Macaca fascicularis: one gene and its partners. The protein of the gene in region 2 purifies or fractionates together with the protein of the main gene of each other region. This does not show direct contact. Links are inferred from orthologs where the notes say so. Each region holds a gene or a part of one and is shown on either strand. Other genes may lie near its edges.

What was found.
Region 1: the proteins of TNS2 (region 2) and DMD purify together in Homo sapiens (affinity purification with mass spectrometry; 3 studies listed by BioGRID and IntAct, with this or other methods). This does not show direct contact. The link is inferred for Macaca fascicularis from reciprocal best matches to the Homo sapiens genes TNS2 and DMD.
Region 3: the proteins of TNS2 (region 2) and SNTB2 purify together in Homo sapiens (affinity purification with mass spectrometry; 4 studies listed by BioGRID and IntAct, with this or other methods). This does not show direct contact. The link is inferred for Macaca fascicularis from reciprocal best matches to the Homo sapiens genes TNS2 and SNTB2.

The regions. Positions count from the first base shown.
Region 1 is NC_088395.1:33,307,105-33,311,314, forward strand, and holds the start of DMD (dystrophin), read right to left. Parts: upstream 2,844-4,210; 5' UTR 2,608-2,843; coding exon 2,577-2,607; intron 1-2,576. UniProt on the Homo sapiens protein: Anchors the extracellular matrix to the cytoskeleton via F-actin. Ligand for dystroglycan.
Region 2 is NC_088385.1:59,846,383-59,850,030, reverse strand, and holds part of TNS2 (tensin-2), read right to left. Parts: coding exon 3,623-3,648; intron 2,727-3,622; coding exon 2,676-2,726; intron 2,345-2,675; coding exon 2,222-2,344; intron 2,134-2,221; coding exon 2,069-2,133; intron 913-2,068; coding exon 829-912; intron 359-828; coding exon 246-358; intron 155-245; coding exon 94-154; intron 1-93. UniProt on the Homo sapiens protein: Tyrosine-protein phosphatase which regulates cell motility, proliferation and muscle-response to insulin. Phosphatase activity is mediated by binding to phosphatidylinositol-3,4,5-triphosphate (PtdIns(3,4,5)P3) via the SH2 domain.
Region 3 is NC_088394.1:65,293,369-65,297,470, reverse strand, and holds the start of SNTB2 (beta-2-syntrophin), read right to left. Parts: upstream 2,847-4,102; 5' UTR 2,844-2,846; coding exon 2,273-2,843; intron 1-2,272. UniProt on the Homo sapiens protein: Adapter protein that binds to and probably organizes the subcellular localization of a variety of membrane proteins. May link various receptors to the actin cytoskeleton and the dystrophin glycoprotein complex.

The DNA of each region.
Region 1 (4,210 bases), on a different chromosome or scaffold from region 2:
CAAAATATTGTATTTCTCATATGTGTGATGAAATAAAGAATAAATTGATGAAAGAGTATGATAAATCATTTTTAATAAGTTAGGAAAATATTACAATAGAAAGTGGGAGGAGAAGGAAAGTTTGGGAAATCAGTTTGTTTTACTCTTGAGATAAAATTTTGATGAAAGATAATAAAATAGAATTTTGAAAAACACCTGATGTTTCCAAGGCAATGATTTTAATCTCTTTTATTAAACTACACAAGTGGTTAAAAACTTGACAATTTGTTTCATATATAGCAAATGACGTGGAGTACAGGGATTTCAAATGAATGCTATAGGAATAAAGAGGAAGCTGTATTAATATCTCTGCCCAAATGATGAATTTGCAATTCAGTACTGTCTAGCTAGAAGTGTCAACCAACACCTATTTCCCCTTAAATAATGTAATTATGCATAAAACACTTTGTAGTCTTTTTTAAAGTTTAGAATAACATCTATATGACATACTCTGTTGTATTTTTCATAATGTTATGCCATGTAAGATACACCAAAACTTTGTATTAACAGTATATCATCAATTTAGATCAGCGATCTCTTTTTCATAGTTAAGATGTCTTTAAAAGATTCTGCAAATGAAATTCTAAAAGATGATTTTGTTAGACCTCAAGATGACTTACATCATTTAAATATATTCAAATGAAATATCTATTTGCCATACACTATTTGAATAATTCTTTACAATGCATTATTTGAGTAATTCTAAAAGTAAACAATACAATGTGTTTGACAATACAGTGATCTCTTTTACAGAGTAACTATTCTGTTTAAAAAACAAAATGTACTTTTATAAGTTTTTCAAACTAAGGCGAATTTACAAACCAGATTCAAATGTCAGACATCCAAATAGTAGTATATTGTCAAGCAACAAAATTTAATGTATAATATAGCCCTGAGTATATCTCCATTTTCCTTAACAAACTCATTGTCATGTTGCATAGGCATTACTTGATGATTTTTTAAATGCAGTGTGAAAAAATCCTACAGGACATGTTCCAAAAAGATTACCTTCCTTCACATTCGAAGAACTGAAAGTTTTTCAACTATCTATGACAAAGCAGAGGATAGGTTTACCTTGCTTCATTCCAGCAGAATTGCATATATTCTTTCAAAATTGCTCTATATACTGGTATATGTGGTTAATTATATAGAATATATATATATATATAAAATCACTAGCGATTTTGATAGTATTTATATTACATATATCAAAGAAATAAAAATGATAAATAAAAATATGTGTATATGTGTATATTGCAAACAACAGATATATGCCATGCATATTTTTGTAATGATAGTAAATATAATAGTTTTTCAATCTAAAAGCAATAATGATACTCACCAAAAGAAATTTATGAAGCAAGCAAACAATGTAACTAAATGTTGTATTATAAAATCTGGTAGCTTTTAATGTGACTCAATACATGGACAATGTTAACTTATTTCCACAAATTTTTCACAGTGGTAAAACGTCTGCCTTTTTTTTTTTTTTTTTTAGTAGTTGTGGAGCATTACTTATTTGGAGAGACTTATTTTTTCATTCTTAATTATAGGCATCGCTCTCATATCTATTTTAGAATAACTATACTCCACAAGTCAAAGATAGGTGGGGAAGAGATAAACTCCCATCTTTTTGGGACACACAGTCCTTATCATATATTATTTTTACTGTTGTGCCACAGTCCATTTTTAAATCCTTCAATAGTCATCATGACTTTCTTAAAAATAAACAAAATAGTTGCATTTCTATATGGAAGACAAACTAAAAAATTGAACTGAAAAGCTAGCTCATGATAGACTTGAAACATCTACTAAATATAATTTACTACTAAACATAATTAGGAGTTCCTCAAGTTTGTATGTTGTTTTCCCAAGAGATCATCTGATCATTTGATAGCATAGATCACATCATTATTTGAAATAATCATCATGGTATGCTATAGAAAAGAGCATTTGAAATAGTAAATGTGAGAAAGCAACATTACAATTAAATCTTTATCAATACTTTTCACATCCTTCAATTTTCCATCCCAACTCATTTTATTCTTTATTTTCTCCATATGTCAGAGAAACTTCTCCTAACTTTTAGGCCTCCATGTAGTTCCTATACAGTAGTTAGTTCAATTGAGAATATATGTCAGGTCAGTAACCTTTATGTAACTGTTACTAAATACAGAAGTATCAACTAGTCAAAATAATAACTGAGATATACAAACTATCTCACAGCAATCAAAATAATCTGTTATAATCAAATGACATTCTGCATATTCTATTACTGCAGTGGCTTATTAATCAAGAAATCATGTGTTTAATTCTTCTGCAAAGAAAAACTTATAAACTCAATTTCTATTGAAAAGTTTTCCCAATGAAAAATATATATTCCTGAATAAATACATATATATATGCAGTATATATAACATTTATGCTTCTTTGCAAACTACTGTGATAATTTAAAATCAATCTACCTAATTAGTGAGTTTGTCACAAACTAAACATTATGCCACAGTAAAATACATTTTTAGTTACTTTGTACTTACAACAGTCCTCTACTTCTTCCCACCAAAGCATTTTGAAAAGTGTATATCAAGGCAGCGATTAAAAAAACCTGGTAAAGGTTCTTCAAACTTTATTGCTCCAGTAGGCTTAAAAACAATGAGAAACCAACAAACTTCAGCAGCTTTAAAAAAATAACACTTCAGTTTTTCCTATTCATTTTTCTCTGAAGGTAATTGCCTCTAAGATCTGAGTCCCGTAGGGGGAAAGTGAGTGATCCCAACACTGAGTGAGTCAACACAGTAACTGATGCCAGGATTCTGTAGAGGCCCCTGGATATTTCAAATTCCAGGACCTGCGCACAAGCAAGTGACCCGCCTTCTCTCTCAAGTTGGTTTCCCATAATAGGACTGTCCATGGTCACTACATATAAGGTTGTGCTTCCAGCATGGCAAGCTCTGTGAATTCAAATAATGCTCAACTGTGTTCTGATTAATATCCAAACCAGAATAGCACAGTGGACATAGTACTAGCTTTTAAAGCCTTCCAAACACAAAAACTATTCAGTACAAAACCATAACAATATTTTCTGTAACTTTCATGTGAATTTATAACAGAGCAGAAAATCCCGATTTAAAATTGACTTTTAAATGCCTTTTTTATCCTCTCAACAACACCAAAAATTTCACTCTACCAAATAAAAAGAAATGCCCAGAATAATCTATGCATTTGTTATGTATCCACTGCCTACCAAAGTTATTTTTTCCCCTTGAGATTTTTGATTGCAAAAGTCATGTATTGATGATGCCAACAGTCTGAATAAGAGAAGCAGCAGCAGAACACAGCAGCTGAATTCTGAAGGCAGAATGTGTGTGTAGGTCTCATGGGACATGTTTTCCTGCTAAAATAAAGAATATTCTTATAATGGAGCAAAGACATTTTTCTCAAATCCTAAATTTCAGTTGTGAATTATGATAAAACTTCTTTACTAACAAATTATTCTTTCTTCCATTTCTCTGCTGCCAATTCTTAAAACACCATTTTCTTAGACATTGAGTTAATGATCATTTAATGGTTCTGAATGCAGGCTCTTTTTTTTCTGTATTAAGTGAATGCAGTTGTATTATGTCATTCAGCATGTAAATCATTCTTTGCCAATAGAAGTCTTCTTCATCTTGTTCCTTATTACTTTTATGCAACAGGCGAGCCCCAAATTGATAGAAAACATTGGTAGCATTTTTTAAAGAAAGATATTCTTTTTATAGTTATAATAATCCCTACTAAAATTTTTGTTTGAGTGTTTTTATTGTACCATTTGTTAAAGTGACAGACTCATTTTTCTATGTCAAACATTCAACTGCTTGCGACTGAAATGAGTAATAGACAAAAATAAAAAAAAATTATAGAGTCAGACTGTGATGTTTACCTTAATAGTTAATTATACATTTTGCGTTTTAGAATATTATTGTCATAACATGGCTATTTTCCCCAGCAAAATGTGTATGAGATAAAACATAAGGCTTAATTTTAATTGAAAACATTCTTTTCCCTAGGTCACCTCCTTTCCTCTGTGTGGTTGTCTAAATATGCATATAAGCAAAATTTTCATAAAACAAAATGAAAAAAATGAAAACAATTGTTGTGGGGCTGATTTGGCTCTAAGTCTACATGTTAGCAT
Region 2 (3,648 bases):
CCAGGTGTCTGGGGAGGCTGGAGAAGCAGGAATGCAGGGAGCAAGCGGGGCCCTGGCCATGAAGTGTCAGGGGCCTGGGAATAGAGCACTCACTAGACTCCAGACGTGTAGACGAGCTGCATGGACTGGTAGATTTTAAGGAAGGGCTGGAAGCCTGGAGGGGCAGAGGAGAAGGCGCGGAGGGGTGCTGAGTGGAGGGGCCTGAAGGTGGCTCTCCCTAGGGAGCACATCTCAGGCAGACTCACCTGTGCCAGGTTCAAAGGCTGGCAGCGTGGGGACGAGCACATAGTGCAGGAAGAGAGGGCTGCTGTTCATTCTGATGGAGCCGGACAGCAGCCCACTGAAGTAGCTGATGTATCTGGCAGAGGGCGTGTCGAGGAGAACATAAGCCTTTTCCTCTGGAGGTCACCTTGTATCATTTCAACCATCCACCCTTAGAAAGCTGGCTCTTCTCCTCAGCACTTCCTTCCCGTCTACCAGGTCACCAGAAAGTTCTTCCTTGCATCTAATCTCAATCCTTCTTGCTCCCCTCTGCCTCAAAGCTCTTTCCCCAGAGCTCTGCTTCACTTTATAGTGGCAGGCCCCGACTGTCCTTAAGGTTCTCTTTATGATGGACCTCCTCGTCTATTTATTCCCAGGTCTACTGCCTTCCATCCTACTAGCATGAAAGCTCCATGAGAGCAGGGGCTTTGTCCACTTTGAATTCTCAGCACCTGGCACAGCCCCTGGCACACTCAGTGAAGGTGTGCTGCATGGATACGAGAGTCTTGGCCTTGGTAGCCATGAAGGGAGCTGCTCCTCTGGCCCATCCCCACCCAGGCTGCTCACCGACGCTGGGAGGGCTGCAGTTCTGTGGCCACCTTGTCCTCGCAGAATTTCCGCATGGTAAGAGTAGCCAGTGCCTGGTCAGCCCTGGGGACAGCAAGGCCAGTGTTGAGGATTAGGGACTAGTCTTCATCCTGGCCTCCCATCCCTGAGCCCCAGGGGAGGGAGGAGAGATATGATCCCCTGAGTCTAGAGGAAGCCCAGAGTGGTGGTAATGAGAATGAGAAGCACCATGTACAGTCACTTTACTAGTTTTTGGGCCCCAGGCAATTATTCCCTGAACTTTAGTTTTTTCATCTGTAAAACGGGGCAACAAAACCATCTCATGAGTTGAATTATATCCCCCCGAAAGACATGTACCTCAGAATGTGACCTTATTTGGAAATAGGGCCATTGCAGACATAATTAGTTAAGATGAGCTCATACTGAAGGAGGGTGGACCCTGAATCCAATATGATTGGTGTCCTTATAAGAAGAGAGGAAGAGACACAGACAGAGATGCACAGGGAGAACATCATGTGATGACAGAGGCAGAGATTACAGTGATGTGTTTGCAAACCGAGGAACGCCAAGGCTTGCTGGCCACCACCAGAAGGTAGAATGAGACAAGGAAGGATGCCATCTCAAGTCTCAGAGGAAGCAAGGGCCTGCCGACAGCTTGATTTGGGGCTTCTGGCCTCCAGAACTGTGAGACAGTATATTTCCACCGGTTTTTGTTTTGTTTTGTTTTGTTTTTGAGATGGAGTCTCGCTGTTGCCCAGGTTGGAGTCCAGTGGCACCATGTGGTCTCACTGCAACCTCCGCCTCCCGCGTTCAAACGATTCTCCTCCCTCAGCCTCCTGAGTAGCTGGGATTACAGGCACCCACCACCACACCCTGCTAATTTTTATATTTTTAGTAGAGACAGGGTTTCATCATGTTGGCCAGGCTGGTCTCAAACTCCTGACCTCAGGTGATCCGCCCACCTCGGCCTTCCAAAGTGCTGGGATTACAGGTGTGAGCCACGGCACCTGGCCCATTTCCACTGTTTTACACCACCCTGTTTGTGGCTGCCCTAGGAAACTTTACAGACCATCTGCTGCAGACTGTGTTGCTGTACTAGTGATAAAAGGGAGGTGGAAATGCTAACTTGACAGCAAAGGACTCTCAATGAAGAGGTGGGCTCCAGGGGAGATGGTTCCTAAGGGGCCAGCTGGAGAAAGGGCCACTGGGGAAGGGGCTACTCCGGTGCTGGGAGCCTCACCCTGCAGAGATCTTGCTGTAGTGCATGTAGGCAGAAACGATGACCCCGAGCTTGCCCTTGCTTCCCTGAGAGACAGAGACAGGGATGAGGGTCTGGGGGCTCCAGGCTGACCTGGAGCCTCCAGGCACCAGGGAACCCGAGGTCCTGGCCCACCTTGCAGTATAGTACGACCACGTGCTGTGGGTCAGCACTGAGCCATGTCTCCATGGCTTTGCAGATGGAGCACAGCTTGTCCAGGGGTGGAGCATGCAGCTCAGGCCAGCCGAAGTCCTGAACCTGGGGAGAGTGCAGGGGTGCAACTGGGGCTGGGGCCCACCAACAGAGAGACACAGGCGGTGTGGAAAGGGGACAGGGCATACGGGTCTGGGGGCAAGGCTGGGGATCTGCTGGTTCTCCATGATAACCTCAGCACTTTCCTTATCTATACAATGGGCTGATACCTGCTGCATCACGTTTTGGGGTGTCTCCAGTAATATGTCATGCGAGAGGGGGAAGGTGCTTAAGAGTGAAGTAGATGCCAATCGCTACTATTAATAACGAGGAAGCTGGGGGCTTCTGGGGTAGGGGTGGCTTGGTTTAATGACTGGGCAAGCCATTTCCTTCATACCTTGGGGTTTAAGCGGGTCAGGTCATGCCTTTTCTCTGAAAGGTTGAAGAGCTGAAATAAAGGGGGAGGGCTTTAGACAGAAGGGACCTCCGGCAATGAGGCACGAGGTGGAGGTGGATCCTAAGTTAAGAATCTTCCTCTAGGCCGGGCGCGGTGGCTCACGCCTGTAATCCCTGCACTTTGGGAGGCCGAGGCGGGCGGATCACGAGGTCAGGAGATCGAGACCATCCTGGCTAACACGGTGAAACCCCGTCTCTACTAAAATACAAAAAATTAGCCGGGCGCAGTGGCGGGTGCCTGCAGTCCCAGCTACTCGGGAGGCTGAGGCAGGAGAATGGCGCAAACCCGGGAGGTGGAGCTTGCAGTGAGCCGAGATCGCGCCACTGCACTCCAGCCTGGGCAACAGAGTGCAGACTCTGCCTCAAAACAACACCAAAAAAAAAAAAAAAAAAAAAAAAAAAAAGAAAAAAAAAGAATCTTCCTCTAAAACAAAGTGCAGGCCTGGCGCAGTGGCTCACGCCTGTAACCCCAGCACTTTGGAAGACCGAGGCGGGCGGATCACCTCCTGGGCAACAAAGAGAGACCCGTCACCAAAAAAAAAAAAAAAAGTAAAGAAAGAAAGAAAATAAGAAGGTAGTTAAGGCCCGGCCTAGCCAGTCACAGCCAAGTCGCCAGCGCTCCTGGATACTCCGCTCCGCTCCAGGCGCCACTGCGGGCCCCGCCCCCGCCCCACCCTCGCCCCCACCCCACCCCCGCCCCCGCCCCCACCCCACCCCCGCCCCCACCCCACCCCCGCCCCCGCCCCCGCCCCCACCCCACCCCACCCCCACTCCTCTGGTCCCGCCCACTGGCGGCCTCGCCTCCACTGGTGACGTCAGTGATTAGCCTCGCCCATCTGGACCCCACGCCCCTCTCATTGGCTGACTCCTGATGGCCCCGCCCCTCACCAGGTACTTGTCCCGGTGCTTGGATT
Region 3 (4,102 bases), on a different chromosome or scaffold from region 2:
CTTCAAAATGCAACGTCATAAATCTACTATACTGACTTCCTCACAACTTATAAGAACAAAAACTGCTTGTCTTATACAAAGTGGGAAAATAAAGTAGAACCTGTGTGTTAGGCAAAAAGGCATTCAATAAACATGTTATTATGCTGCCATCTTTCTAAAAGCACACATGGCCTATTTTAGTCCAATAAAGACTGGGAAGCATTTGCTACAAGGTTTTCATTTTACTAGTCTGAATACTAGGTTCAAACTATACCTACACAAAAAGTGGGTTGTTTGTTTTTGAGACGGAGTCTTGCTCTGTCATCCAGGCTAGGCATCCAGGCTGGAGTGCAGTGGTGCCATCTTGGCTCACTGCAATCTCCACCTCCGAGGTTCAATCGATTCTCCTGCCTCAGCCTCCCTAGTAACTGGGATTACAGGCATCTGCCACCATACCCGGCTAATTTTTGTATTTTTAGTAGAGACGAGGTTTCGCCACGTTCTCCTGACCTCAGGTGATCCACCCACCTTGGCCTCCCAAAGTGCTGGGATTATAGGCATGAGCCACCATGCCTGGCCAAAAAGTGTTGGGGTTTTTTTTTTTTTTTTTTTTTTAAACATGGTGTAAAAGGTTCAATTGTCTGCCCACCACAAGTGAGGACTACATAAATAGTGCATTCTGGATGTAAGAATTTATAACCAAATGCTTAGCTAGACCAATTTCAAGGTACATGTTTAGAGTAACAATTTTTTTATACACACACCCAAACCACAATCTTAATTTTACTCCTATTAACACTAATTTCCGAGCAGTGTCTAGCCCCACCTAGACGTGCAATATAAATAAGGTTTATAAATAGGACATTATAAAGGTGGGACACTGGAATTTCACAACTGGTGTACATGAAATCATTTCTGGTAAACCAGTATTTTTCCAAATATTCACAAGCTGATTTATAAGAAAGTGAAAATCCATTGTGCCAAGGTGGACTTCTGGCCCCTCGGTTTGATTGGTCCTTCTTCACCAGCAGCCCCCAGCCCTTCCCTTCTGTCCTTCCTCTGCCAGGAATACCCTCCTGACTCATCCCTGCCTGCCTATGTCCATCACTTCCTTGGAGACCCGGCTCAAGATTTAGCTCCGGGAAAAAGTCCTCCCTGGCTAATTCCATCTCCACTACTTTCTAACTTTGCATTCCTTTGGTATTTAAATATAGTTTGCACGACGTAATCGCCAACTTCATTCCTTTCCTCCCTATAAGTTGTTTTGCATTTTTCTATCATTTCTCCAACTAGAGACCAAGTAGGGACAGCATCTTCTTTTATATTCTTTTCAACACAGCTAGCAATAATCACCAGCGAAAGAAAGCTGACCGCTCAAAAATTTATGAAGAAAGCAACTGACTCTTCGTTTATAATTTACAATATCACCTCCAACATGCATGAGTTCTTAGAGGAGAGGAATTTTATTTTTGCCCTAGTTCAAATTCATCACGAAAGATCCAACTTACAGATCACATACATATAACTTACTGTAAAGAATAACCCTGGTTACTGAAACCTATTTTGTGATTTGCCATTTCAAGTTTCTTACAAAAACCCTAATAGCGCGCCTGTGAGTGGTAGGAAGCTGGCAGCAGACTTGCAAAAGGGGCAAAACTCTAGTTGGCAGTAAATGTTCAAACACGTGAGCCTCCACTGTTAAACAAGGTTCATTAACCACACAGACTTGCTGTTTCAGCTTTCTGGCTTCAATGAAGTGCTATGATCTCCTTTGGTTATTGTTGAGAGCCAATGATGGGTTAAATTCCCATAAATTAACCAGCTCTTTGGTGGGTTGCCCAAGCATACAGCTGGCATCGGTGTGGACGGACTTTTTTTTTTTTTTTTTTAATAGACCCACCCGCCCCGAGGAGCCAGAGGTGAGTGAGTTAAGCGCCAACCCGGCACTTCTCAGCGGGCAAACGGAGACAGACCCACTCGAGCCGTTCGCTCTGCCTCAAGTTCTTAGTGTCAGCTTATCGGGCCGAGAGGAGGCTTCATAGGCAGCTGCTTTTTACTCAGTCTCAGCCGAGTCTTCCTTAGGGGCTGCAAGTAACACTTCGGCGGCTGCCCAACTTTTCCTGCAAGAAGCATCCGTTTTTCCACACTGAAAGCTCCAGAAACCCGGGTTTGGGGAGAGAGGGGGAGAGAACCGGCTCGCCCCGCCGGCGGGGCAAGGAACAAAGTGAGCTCCCGCGAGCCCAGGCCGCCGCGGCCCGCCCACCCTCCCGCCCGCCCGGCCGGCCCCGCTCACCCTCCAGCAGCACCTCCTTGCCCGCGCGCTTCAACGCCTGCACGGCCTGGTCGTGGGTGGCCTGGCGCAGGTCGGTGCCATTCACCGACAGGATGGCGTCGCCCAGCCGCAGCGCCCGGCTCTGGTCGGCGGCCAGCCCCGGGAAGATCTTGGAGATGAGGATCGGCATCCGGTTCTCGCGGCCGCCCTTGATGCTGATGCCCAGGCCGCCCGCCTCCTGCTTCACCACCCGCACCCGGCGCACGGGAGGCGACGCGCCCGCCTCACCCGCGGGGCTCCGAAGTGGCGCCGGCGGGCTTGGGGGCCCCAGGCCGCGGCTTGGGCTCCCGGGCAGCGAGTCGCCCGCGCCGCCGCCGTTCGGGAGGCCGTTGAAGGCGGCTGCCGCGGGTCCCAGAGCGGGCTCCAGCTCGGCCGCGGCGGCGTCGCCCGTCAGGCTCAGGCTCTCCCCGCTCAGCTCGGCCACCACTCGGACCCAGCGCTCCCTCAGGAGCAGCTCCACCAGCCCCGCTTTGGTGGCCCGCGTCCACACCGCCATGGCCGGCCCCGCTCCAGCCGCCGCAGCTACCCTCATTCCAGTCAGGCAGCCTCGGCGCTTCCCCCTTCCCGCCCGGAGGGGCGGGCCCGGCCCCTCCCCCGCGTGATTCATTATTCATGAGGCCACGCCTGCCTCCGGAGGGGCGGGGCCGGCGCAGCCGCTTCCGGGAGGTGCAGAAGTTGTCTGATCCCTTGCCTCTCGCCGGACGTGGGCAGCCCGAGTGCAGTGGGACTGCATTTCTCATTCTCCTTCCATTGGCTCCCCACGGCTCCCCCCGGAAATTCACGGGAGCTGCCCGGGCACGGAAAGTAAAATCAGCTTGGAGTAGCACTTTGCAAGCCTGCAAGACCCGGTGGCACGTTCATTCTTGCATTGATTGGTTCGTACCCTGTATACTGAGCGCTTAGCCCTGTACTCCGGCTCCTTTTGAGGCCCTGTAGATAAGCTTAGTAGTACCAACAACAGCTGAGAGTTTGCGGTCTAGTGGGGAAGGAAAATGCAGAACCAACCAACTAGGTGTGATACTATGTGGTTAAGTGACATGCAGAAAACGTCCCCAGAACAGCATAAAAGGAACATTTGGTTAGGCCCGGGGTCAGCTTCACAGAGGTGACAACGGAGGGTGAACAGCTCAAGCAAAGGTCCAACAGTATGATCCAAGCCTTTGTCAATGTTTTGTAATCTCGTTTACTTGCCTGTAATTCAAGAGGGAACCATGTTTTCTTAAAACTCTGAAGCCACAATTGGCAGGCCTCAAGGATATTTGCAGAATGATGGTGTCTTATGGTTCTTCAGAGAAACCAATCAATAGGATATATAGAGATATATAAATTTATTATTATTATTATTATTATAAGGGACTGGCCACGAGATTATGGATGCTGAGAAGTTCCACGATCTGCCATCTGCAAACTGGAGACCCAGGAAAGTTGGTGGTGCACTTCCAATCCAAGCCCAAAGGCCTGAGACGCAGGGGAACCAGTGGTGTAAACCTGGGCCCGGCGCGGTGGCTCAAGGCCGGGCGCGGTGGCTCAAACCTTTAATCCCAGCACTTTGAGAGGCCGAGGTGGGTGGATCACCTGAGGTCATGAAGTCATGAGTTCGAGACAAGCCTGACCAACATGGAGAAACACCATCTCTACTAAAAATACAAAAAATTAGCCGGGCATGGTGGCACAATCCCAGCTACTCGGGAGGCTGAGGCAGGAGAATTGCTTGAACCCAGGAGCGGAGGTTGCAGTGAGCTGAGATGGCGCCACTGTACTCCAGCCTGGGCAACAAGAACAAAACTCTGC